Drosophila melanogaster: one gene and its partner. The protein of the gene in region 1 interacts with the protein of each later gene in a pairwise test. Each region holds a gene or a part of one and is shown in the gene's direction. Other genes may lie near its edges.

Region 1 (4,863 bases):
AATATTTAAGACGCATGCAACGTGGCGTATGCGTAACGCCAACTGCTGCCAGCGGTCACTCGGTGCGGGCGAGGGTGTTGAAATAAGGCCAGTTAAGTCACTAAAATAATTACACAAATTAATTTAAATTGCATAAAGAGGTGCATACGAAAGAAGGACTAATTATGCCAGCTCTCAAGGCAACAACTGTTTTTACCCCTTTTTTCACAGCATGTTTTATGTACTGTACCCTATATTGTTAGGTCCCCGAGCGTTCTTCCATGGTCATTAGAAATTTAATTAAAAATTTTGATATTGTTAGGAGTATAGGGAATTCTATTTATTTCAAGCTTCTTCCGCCCGATTGCCCATTAAGCGGTATTAAAACTGTCTTCCCCTCGGTGCCAAAGTGTCATACTTGTGCATATTTCACACCCTCGCTCGCATTCACAGAAATGTGTGCACATTTCGCAGGCAATGAGCTTTTGAACATTTAATGAGTTAATACGCTAAATTTGAAAGCCGCTCAAGCGTGCGCCAAGTGCTTCAAACACTTGTCCCCATCCCCGAGCTGCCCATTTTCCAGCTTGAATAATGAGAATGGGGGTATCAAGCCGCTAAATCCAGCACTGAAAAATTTTTCATCAACTTAATAGAAATGTGTTTATTTTTTAATAATATACATTTAGTTTGTAAGATATGTGAAATAAAATAATTTCGAGTTATTTATGAGAATTATATACGAATAAAAGATCAAAAAAATAAAACTAAATTTTTCTCAGTGTACGCACACACGCATATGCAAAACACTAAGCACTTGTCATTTGGCTGTAAACCCTACGCGTCCGTTCGTTGGTATAAAAAAAACAGTGCAAATGTCCAACAGACGAGCATATGTACATACATATGTACACTATAGGTATGTGCGATGTATGTACATATGTACATATGTGCGAAATGGAGGATTGGTTGGCTGTCGTGGCGTCGTATTCATCCTGAACTCATGGGTGTCATTTCTCAGGACCCTCGCGGTCTGCAGGATAACAGCAGCGTAACAGAAGAAGACCCTCACTGGGGACCAGGACCAGAAAAGTAGAGGCTGCCAGACTGCCTCACTTTTGGCGTTCAAGTGAAAGGACGAAGTCGCCGACACTGGTGTGGCAATACTTTTGGCAGCCAATTGTGCGGGCTGAGCAAGATGAATGAGGAATATGAGTGTTGCTTGCACAGTGGGCTACTTTCAAGGGTGTTGGAAGATTCATAACTATCTTAAAGATGCTTTCAGCAGTACTTCTTATGTGCGAGATATAAATTCAACAATTTCTAGATTTTGTAAATAAATATTTCCTTCTCTTATCCAAAATCATTTATAATAAAATAATAATTATTTTATTATAATATACAATATAATAATAGTTGTCATGAATTTAAATGTCACAAACAGGCTGTCTTTCATTAGTAACATATTTTAAAAATTACTCATACGCCACGTTGTCAGTCAAGTAAATATATTTGCCATTTAAAACAGCTCTTCCAATATTATTACAATTCAAACTAATTATATGCGTTATGTGGCTACTTAGTCCACTGTAACCGCCGAGGGCTATGCTATACCCTATGTGCCGCCCGCAACCCAAGTGAGTGCGCACCCACTCTCCGGCGAACTCGCTCTCCGTCTCCGGCGGAGTGGCTCCGGATATTTCGGCAACAGAAGCCTGGCTGCGATAGCCGGAGATTTTCCGAGCGAGGGAAAACCGAATGCCGAAGCGTCGCTGCTGGCAAACATTTTCCATTTTCGCAGTCCTGTAATCAGTTGTGTATAGGACACTCGCGTGCGCGCGTCGAACGGTTTCTGGCTTTATTTGTGGGAAAAGTGTGTGTCTGACGGCGAAACGGTAAACGGGGAAAACGCTGCGCGGTTTTTGCTGCTATCGAGTTCTTCTTTTGCTGGATTTTATATATGGAAACGATTGTTGCTGCTGTATCATTGCAGCTTGCAGCTTTAAATTTAACTTAAATGCTAAAACATCGTTTTGAAAAGCAACGCGAGAGTTAGACAAACAAGTTGGAGGAAATTTTCCAGCTACAGCTACAGCTGCTGCCTCAGCCAGCGTCGCAGTCGCTGTTCGAGATAAAGGATATGCCCGGATCTAAAAGATACAGTTTTTCCTCTTGTTTCTTTTTCCGCTGCTGCTGCTCGTGCTACATTTGCTGCTTGGCATTTTCCGCACAGCAACAACAATCGTTGAGACAGGACCGCAAGTTTTGCTAAAATGTAACATAACACCAAATAAGCAGAGTTAGGAAGAGTGAGCGCCAAATAATGCAAATAAATGAATAAGCCCAAATCATTAACAAATTAAAACGAGGCACGCAAAGGAGGGCAGGAAAATATAAATATCGAAAGGAGTCAAGTCAAGTGCTTTCGAGGAGCTGTTTGCTGACATGCTTTGAGGTTAATACCACCCACCACCACCCAACCGCCCACTACCACCCATCTCAACCATCAGCCATCACCAACTCCTCCTACCTCCCTCATCTCCGTTTTGGCCAATTTCTCCGTCTGCTTTCGCCGCTTTCTTCGTCAACGCCGCTGCTGCCGCCGCCGCCGCCGCTGCTGCCGTCACCATCAAAAGGCATCGAAGGTAAATATATATGTTATATTTTAGCCGAGTGTGTGTATATAAGTCAATGGGCCAACAAACTAACCTACAAAGTAAACAAAAGCGTTACGCTACAAATGCAAATTTTTCGCACACATGCTCAAGAACTATAAACAACAACTCATTTAACTGACGCCATGCCCCCATAAAAAAACCAAAAACAACGCAGCTTAAGACTAGAAATGAAAAAAAAAAAATGGAAAACAAACAGTGAAAAGGTGGAAATGGCACGGCAAATGAAACACAACAAAGCAAAACGCACGCTTCTAAAGCTATTTGTATAAAATTTTAATCGCATGCGATTTATTTGACTAGGCGCCAAAGTCGCACGCACGCACACCATCGCATTTTCGCAGAGGCACCCACACACACACACACGCAGGCTAGTGAAAATTCACACACTCACCTTGAAAAATGCGAAAAAACAGTCTGGAATATTTTGTTTATTTTTCGCAAAATTATGGAAAATATTTATGGGCTCTATTTGAAGTTTGAGCTGTGCCAGGTTTTTCATTCAATAATTGAGGAAAATAATGAAAATGTTTAAAAAACGCATCAAAGAGTATTTTTGTGAGATTATATTTAAAATTGGATGTGAGGCTTCGATTTACTATTGAAATGTTAATTTTCATATTTATTTAAACAAATAAGAATCTGTGTTTGAAGACGCACCTGGCTGCAATTGTTTACTGTTTACGGCACTGTGAAAATATATTAAATTGTTCATACATATTTTTAACTTTTGGCAGAAGTGTCGACAACTTGTTTATAATTTTCCAAAATAGTGAAGCTTTACATATGTTATTTTTTAGCATTGCGGTAATATATGGGTGAGAATCGAATATACTAACATATTCCTTGAGTATACGATTTGTTTGTTTTATTTTCTTTAACAATATTACAAAATGAATTATTCCCAGAAGTGGTAAAACTCTTTTTACATGGCGTTTAAATTGCGTCATTAAAAATTCCCATTATTCAACCCAATTTCCGTGTCATTTAATCCGTGACAAGCTGTTAAAAGGAAACAAACAAACAAAAGTTGTGCGCAACAATTGATAAGCAACAAAAGCAACTATCGTGCCGCTTGGCAATAAACCATAAAATAAATGCCAATTCCATTTAGATGCACAAGCCGATTAAAAAGTCAACTTGGCATAGTTTTCCAACTCGTGCGACATTGATTCGTGATTGATTTGGTCATATTGTAATCTAATTTCACCGATTTGAAAAGTAACTTCAAGTAGTGTAAATCACATTATGTAATTAATCAAATATATGGAGATTTAATATATATATTTTAAGCGATTTTACACGACAAGGTCCTTGCCAAACTAAATTCGCTGTCATCTATTTATATAATCCCTGGCCAACTATTTTAAGTGCTTCTAGCCGAGAAAAGCTGCATCTGCATCCTAAGAATAAAATGAACTTGGTCGCGGGAAGCTGGATGAAAAACACTTAACGCGCAACTAAGCGACAATTGTTGTTTTGTGTGGCATTTAAAAATAGAATCAAGGTGCGCTCTAGTTTCATTCATCCACACACAGAGACATCCCCACTCACACACACGGCGCACACACAGATACAGGTACAGAGCCTACATAAAAGTGGCTGCTGTTGTTTTGCAAGTGGGTGAATGCGGGGCAAAGGGGCGGTCGCCGGGATGTATGCTACACGAAACTGTAAATAGAAAAGTTATAAATAAAATTCACACGAGCCAACATTGAAAAAATGAACTTGGAAACTGTAAAAAATAAAATAAAATATAATAAAAACCTGGTGAGTGGACGCCATATAATGGCTGATCATTCAAATATTCAATTATTGGAATGAGCATCGATGACAGCACACAAAATAAATATTGGTAGATGATATATGTTAAATTTAAACATTTTGTGCAGCACATCTGGGCACTATTACTTACCGGTTAAAGGTCAAAACACCTTGGCCTTGGCCAAAAGGAAACTCTAAGGAAAACGCAAAGACACGCAAGGCAATACCAAACGAGAACCGCAGCTGTGAGCTGCAAAGTGATTCAACGCTTTTCGGCTATAAAGTGCCTAATCACTTTGGGTGTTAGATGTGTGGGCCATTCAATGACACTGGTAATTACTGGCCCAATCGAATGATATTGTCTTGGCCTAAGTGAGTAATGAGCAAAGGGCGTGACAATCGCCAAACGTCCAGACCTCGTTGAATAATTAAGCCTGTTCAAACG
Region 2 (5,315 bases), on another chromosome or scaffold:
GAATTACGAAGAACAATTTGAATGCGGATGCGACTTACGGTTTTGTCACCTACTTGTATAACGTACGTATGTATATATAGGTATAGTAATTATTGCAACTCATAAAAAAAATTTTGCAATTTGCTACGGAATTTCTGCAACTACAATCAGTTTTGACGTAGGTCGTTGGTTTGCGGTTGAGCTATACAAATGTACTGACATATTTCGTCTTTCGTAAGTCATGTACGTAAATGGTTTTTGGTTTTTTATATTTTTTTTTTGTGTATAGCGGACTGTTCTCGGTTTTAATTTCGAAGAATTTAATCTGGGGTCGATTTCGTTTGGTTTTGTGTTTTGCAAAAAGTTGGTGTAAAGCGATAAAATGTTATTTGCGTCATTTGGTCTGATAGTTAACTATAAAAAGCAAGATGGGAACTTATTTATAAGCAGAAACATGAACACGATACGAACATGGGCAGAGCTATTTAATTTTGTTCATATTTCAACGGGAATTTTACAGCTTGTAATTGTTTACTAAAGACTGCTGCCAGTTTTAAACCATACAATTTAGTTTTTAATAAGTGCTTGTACTGCAAAATTTAATTATACCTTTTGTTTCGGTAAGCTTCATAAATCTGATCTTGAAAAACTAGTTAGTGCTTTAGTTGCTTTCCGGGAAAAGTTCTTAGTCAGCTGGGTTTTTTTTAATTCATTTTTTTTTTTTGGCGATAAATCACCGATTCGTCCCATTGTGCGTGACTGTGCGCTTGTAGTGGTGCTCGCAGAGTGCTTTATTGCATTGGGCTCGCATCGCCTGTCAGTCTGTCACTGTGTGTGCTGGTGTGCGTGCGCCTCTCTGTGTGTTCGCGCGTGTGTGTGTGTGTGCGACGTATCTGTGCCCGCTCAGTGCTCTGTGCTCAAATGCAATTTACAATTACGCGCGGCAATTGGAGCAGCTACCGTTGTGTGCGTGCGTACGTGCGGGATCATTGCACATTGCGTCAACGTTTCAAGATCACAATTACAATTACCCCGACGCAGTGGCAGTTGCAGTAGCACCAAAAAATCCATCTCAATTGCGAGAGAACCGAACAGTGGCAAAAGCAACCGAAAATTAAGTAAGGCACAGCAAATTTGTCGAAGAAAACTATCAACAATACAAGTAAATAAGAACGGCAGAACGGCCGCCCGCCCCCACAACAGCTGCTCTCCGTTGATGCGCCACTCCACTCCGCGGCTCAACGATTCTTCTATACAATTCTTCGAGCCTCCTCCCCTCGCCCATTCTCGCCCCACGAGACTCCCCTCCCCCCGCCCCCCACGCTGCTCTTCTCGATTCTTTTCGCCCCTCCCGCCGGCCCGCTGGAAAAAACGGGCAGAGCTGCAGAGCCGCAGAAAGCGATTTCAGTTCGGCGACGGCAGCGCACAGGTGCCATTCGGAAAGTGCGGACGTAGAATGTTTGCCGGGAATTCCAGTGGCATTTTCACCTATAGTTCCACTCGATTTTGCCTCGACGCCAGCGTTAGTAGCGCGTTTCGACGGAACACACAGATCGTTTTCCAACACCATAAGCACCATTTCACTTTTGAGTCTTTCCTTATCAGTCACTCCCAATCACTACCCAACCATCATCCACTACTCTTCACTAGTTTCTCTTTCTACTATCCTTTTTCTTATTATTCCCATCCTCCCTTTTAACTATCTTCACACACTCATTCTTAACGGAAATCTTCACTGTTTTTATGCTTTCTACTATCGTTCTATCCGCCAGCCTTTCACTTTTCACTCGCTTCTAACATTTACCATTCTAGCTATTTTTTTACCATCTCTTACCATTGAATTCTTTATATAAGCCTTAGTAAATTAGTATACAGAAAATAGTACGAATTTCCATTTTCCATTTTCTGCACTTTTTTCAACTTCTTCTGCTTACAACATCTTTCTTATCACCAATCCCATTACACTTTCTTGCATATTCCTATTTCATTTTTGCTGTTCTAACGAATCTCACACTTACTTCATTAGTCCCAACTCTTTGCTAACCTGGTGTATACATACCTTTACCCACCCCACCTCTACCCGCGATCCAGCCAATCCATCCATGTGAGATGAGTGCGTGCGACGGCGGTACGGGAACGGTTTCGCGAACGTCTGACGCCCCCGCTTTCCAATTCGATGTCATGCCAAAGATAACGACGTCGACGTCGACGTCGAAAGCGTCGGCAGCGAGGGCGAAAACGAAAACGACAGCAAAAGCAACAACAATTGGAAAAACAACAACGACGACAACGCGGAGAACGGTTAAAATTGAAAATAAATGGACGACGGCAGAGGCAACGGCGTTCAGTTATCAGCGGACAGCGGAGCAGATTGGAGCTAGTGCCCGAGCCAGAGCCAGAACCAAAGTAGCAGCTACAGTCAGAGCTAGAGCAAACCCAATTGCGGCCACATCCAATCAGCGAAGTGACATTGGTTATCCATGTGAGGTGGCATCCATCTCCGAGTTGGCCCTACGCAAGGCGCAGTTGAAAGCGCAATTTTTCGGCAATCAAGTGGGTGGATTAGCCCGCGATAGCGAGACAAGCAGCACCACTAGAATCACTCGCACCACCAACTACCGCAGTGCTTATCCCAGCTGCAAGACGGAACGAGGCAAGCCGGTGCAACAGCTAATCGATCAGTTCCAGGCCATGATTGTCCAGCAGCAGCAGCAGCAGCAGCTGAGCAACGAGGGCGAGCCCAAGACACTGCCCGGAGCCACTGCATCCAATTCGGATGAGGGCTGTAATGTCACCGGCGGCGGACTGAGTCCCTATAGCAGCGACAACGAGGATAACAGCCTATCGCCGAGGCAGCGCAAAATGAAGGTCACACGCTGTGCCAGTAGTGATTCCGCCCTGGGTCTGGACGTGGACGATGGCGGCATGGATGTGCCGTTGCCGCCACAACGTCGGATGACACTGACCGTAACGGATTTACCCCTGCGACCGGCCCTACTGCCACTGGCCGAACCCACAGCCCTGCCAGATTCGCCACTGACATCGCCCACCGGCGGTGGCAATCCGAGCGTGGGTGTGCCCACCAAGGTGCTGCTCGAGGAGCGAGTGGTAGCCGCACCGGGATCGCGACGTGAATCCACCCAGAGCTCGTACAGCGAACTGGGCGTCAGTGGACTGCCGCTGGGCGTGCGCTATGTGCGCACACCATCCGTCGTGGTTAGCGACTATTCGGATGACATAACCGCCTGCGGCATTAGCATGGAGGAAATGGAATACTTTCGTCTGCAGCGGGCGCGTGGTCAGCGGCGTTGTTCCCTGGAGGCGGGACATCACAGTCATAGCGGTGGACATGGCGCACATGGACACGGTGGATCGGGAGCGGCGGGAATGTCGCCGGGATGTGGCAAGGACGATGGCCAATCGGATGTCAGTGCAGCAAGCAGTTGCAGCAATCTCTACTATTGTGGATCCACCATTTCTGCCCTCGATGGTGGCGAGTGCATCGTGAATGGAGTTCGAGTTGCGCTCGCCAGGAAGAGCAGCACCCAGAGCAGCAGTCTCAGCGACGAGGAGGAGGAGGAGGAGGATGACGACGAGGATCGCGATGAGCAGGATCGCGATGAGGATGATCGCGATGCGGAGGAGATGCTTCAGGAGGATTACGAGCGGGGGGATCGCGAACGTGAGAGGGAGCGGCAGATCAGCGAACTAATGGCCGCCACGCAGCTTGGTGATCGTCAGCGGGATCGATCCAAGAAGGTAGGCGCCCGCGATGACGTCACAAACCAGGGAAATCTCAAACTAGACTAAAGAATTCGGGTTGGCAAAACGGACAAGTAACAAAGTGGAGCAGCCTAGTAAATTTAATATTAAACACTATTTTTTTTTTTTCGTTTTTAAATATCATTAATGATTGTTTGTGTTGTTGTTATCGAAAGCATAAAAGAGCAGTGAATGAGGGCAGGTCTGAATGGCAGCGAAAGAGATAAGCAAGTTGGTGCATATACACAGGGAGAAACGGGTGCTACGCGTAGATGAAATGTGGCATAATTAAAAAAAAAAAAAAACAATCTATTTTGCTCTAGAGCAGTATTATACCGTTTAGTTTATCAACTGCAAGACCATTATAACTATAGAAAAAGACTATAATAATAAGACTTTTACAATACGCATATCTATTAAATATAAAAAGAAAAAAAAAAACAAAGAAAATCCCTTGAACTACTGACTTGATAATGCGAATTACCACTAAGTTTCATCTTGTTTTAAAGATGATGAGATGATATATAGGCTCAAGAACGGTAATCCCGCGCCTTATCAGCTAATGGTTTTTCCACCTTGCATATGCAGGTCTTTTCTTTCAGTGTATGCGTTTGCTTAAAAGGCTATTAATTAATTAGAATTTTATCTTATCACTAAAATGAGGTTCTGTTACTCGGAGAAGTCTTTTTGTATTCTTCGCTTTTCGTTCGCTATAATAATTATCGTTTTTTTTTTTTTTTTTTTTTTTTTTTTGAGTGAATGAGAACGATATGATGGTGGTGATGTTGAAAAATAGGGGGTTCCTTGATAAAAAAAAAAAACAAGTATATATCTACGAAAATACGAAAACCTCGGATCCGTTGGTTTAATTCGTTTTTTTTTTCGTATCTAGAACTGCAAAACAAAACAACGGCAGCGATAGCGAGGAAAAGAGCTTATCTTAGTTAACTGTATACTGTATTATAGATAAATATTATGTACATATATAAGCCAGCACATATTTACGTTTATATAATGGCATCTTTTTTTTTTTGTGGTTTATTATTCCTTTTGTTGCTGTTGCTGTTGTCAGCAGACGGCGAAAAGTTTGTAAAGCAAATAAAAGTATTAGAAACCGAATTTTCGGAGTCATGATAACGATAATAAAGCAATTCACCTGGATATCTCATACATACATACATGTACATATGTGTATATGCAAGAGATATGGATATGTATGTTGTCTGATCGTATATGTATGTGTGCCAATGTGTGTTTGGTTAATAATGTTACGCGCTTATCAAGCGGGTTTATCTGCCTGGCATTCATATAGCAATATATGGTATATATGTATATATATACCCTCACCGCCGACAAAAGCAATAATTGGAGGCATCCCAGAAATGGCCTGTTGTTCTTCTACTTTTTTTTAAGCCACGGGCATGCGGCTTATATATGCTTAATACGATATACTATCTACTGTATAGTGTGGTTATATCTATGATGATCCCATCCGCCAGTCTAACACAATTGTATAAAGCTCTGTCTTACGGGTTGTTGTTTTTTTCTTTTATTTTTTTTTTTATTATTATTTT

Evidence for each region.
Region 2: the proteins of CG5890 (region 1) and IP3K2 interact in a two-hybrid assay, tested with the Drosophila melanogaster proteins (2 studies listed by BioGRID).

The regions. Positions count from the first base shown.
Region 1 is NT_033777.3:25,854,350-25,859,212, forward strand, and holds the start of CG5890 (uncharacterized protein), read left to right. Parts: upstream 1-1,804; 5' UTR 1,805-2,624; intron 2,625-4,863.
Region 2 is NC_004354.4:13,303,210-13,308,524, forward strand, and holds the start of IP3K2 (inositol 1,4,5-triphosphate kinase 2), read left to right. Parts: upstream 1-2,305; 5' UTR 2,306-2,670; coding exon 2,671-3,738; exon of another isoform or gene 3,739-4,795; intron 4,796-5,315.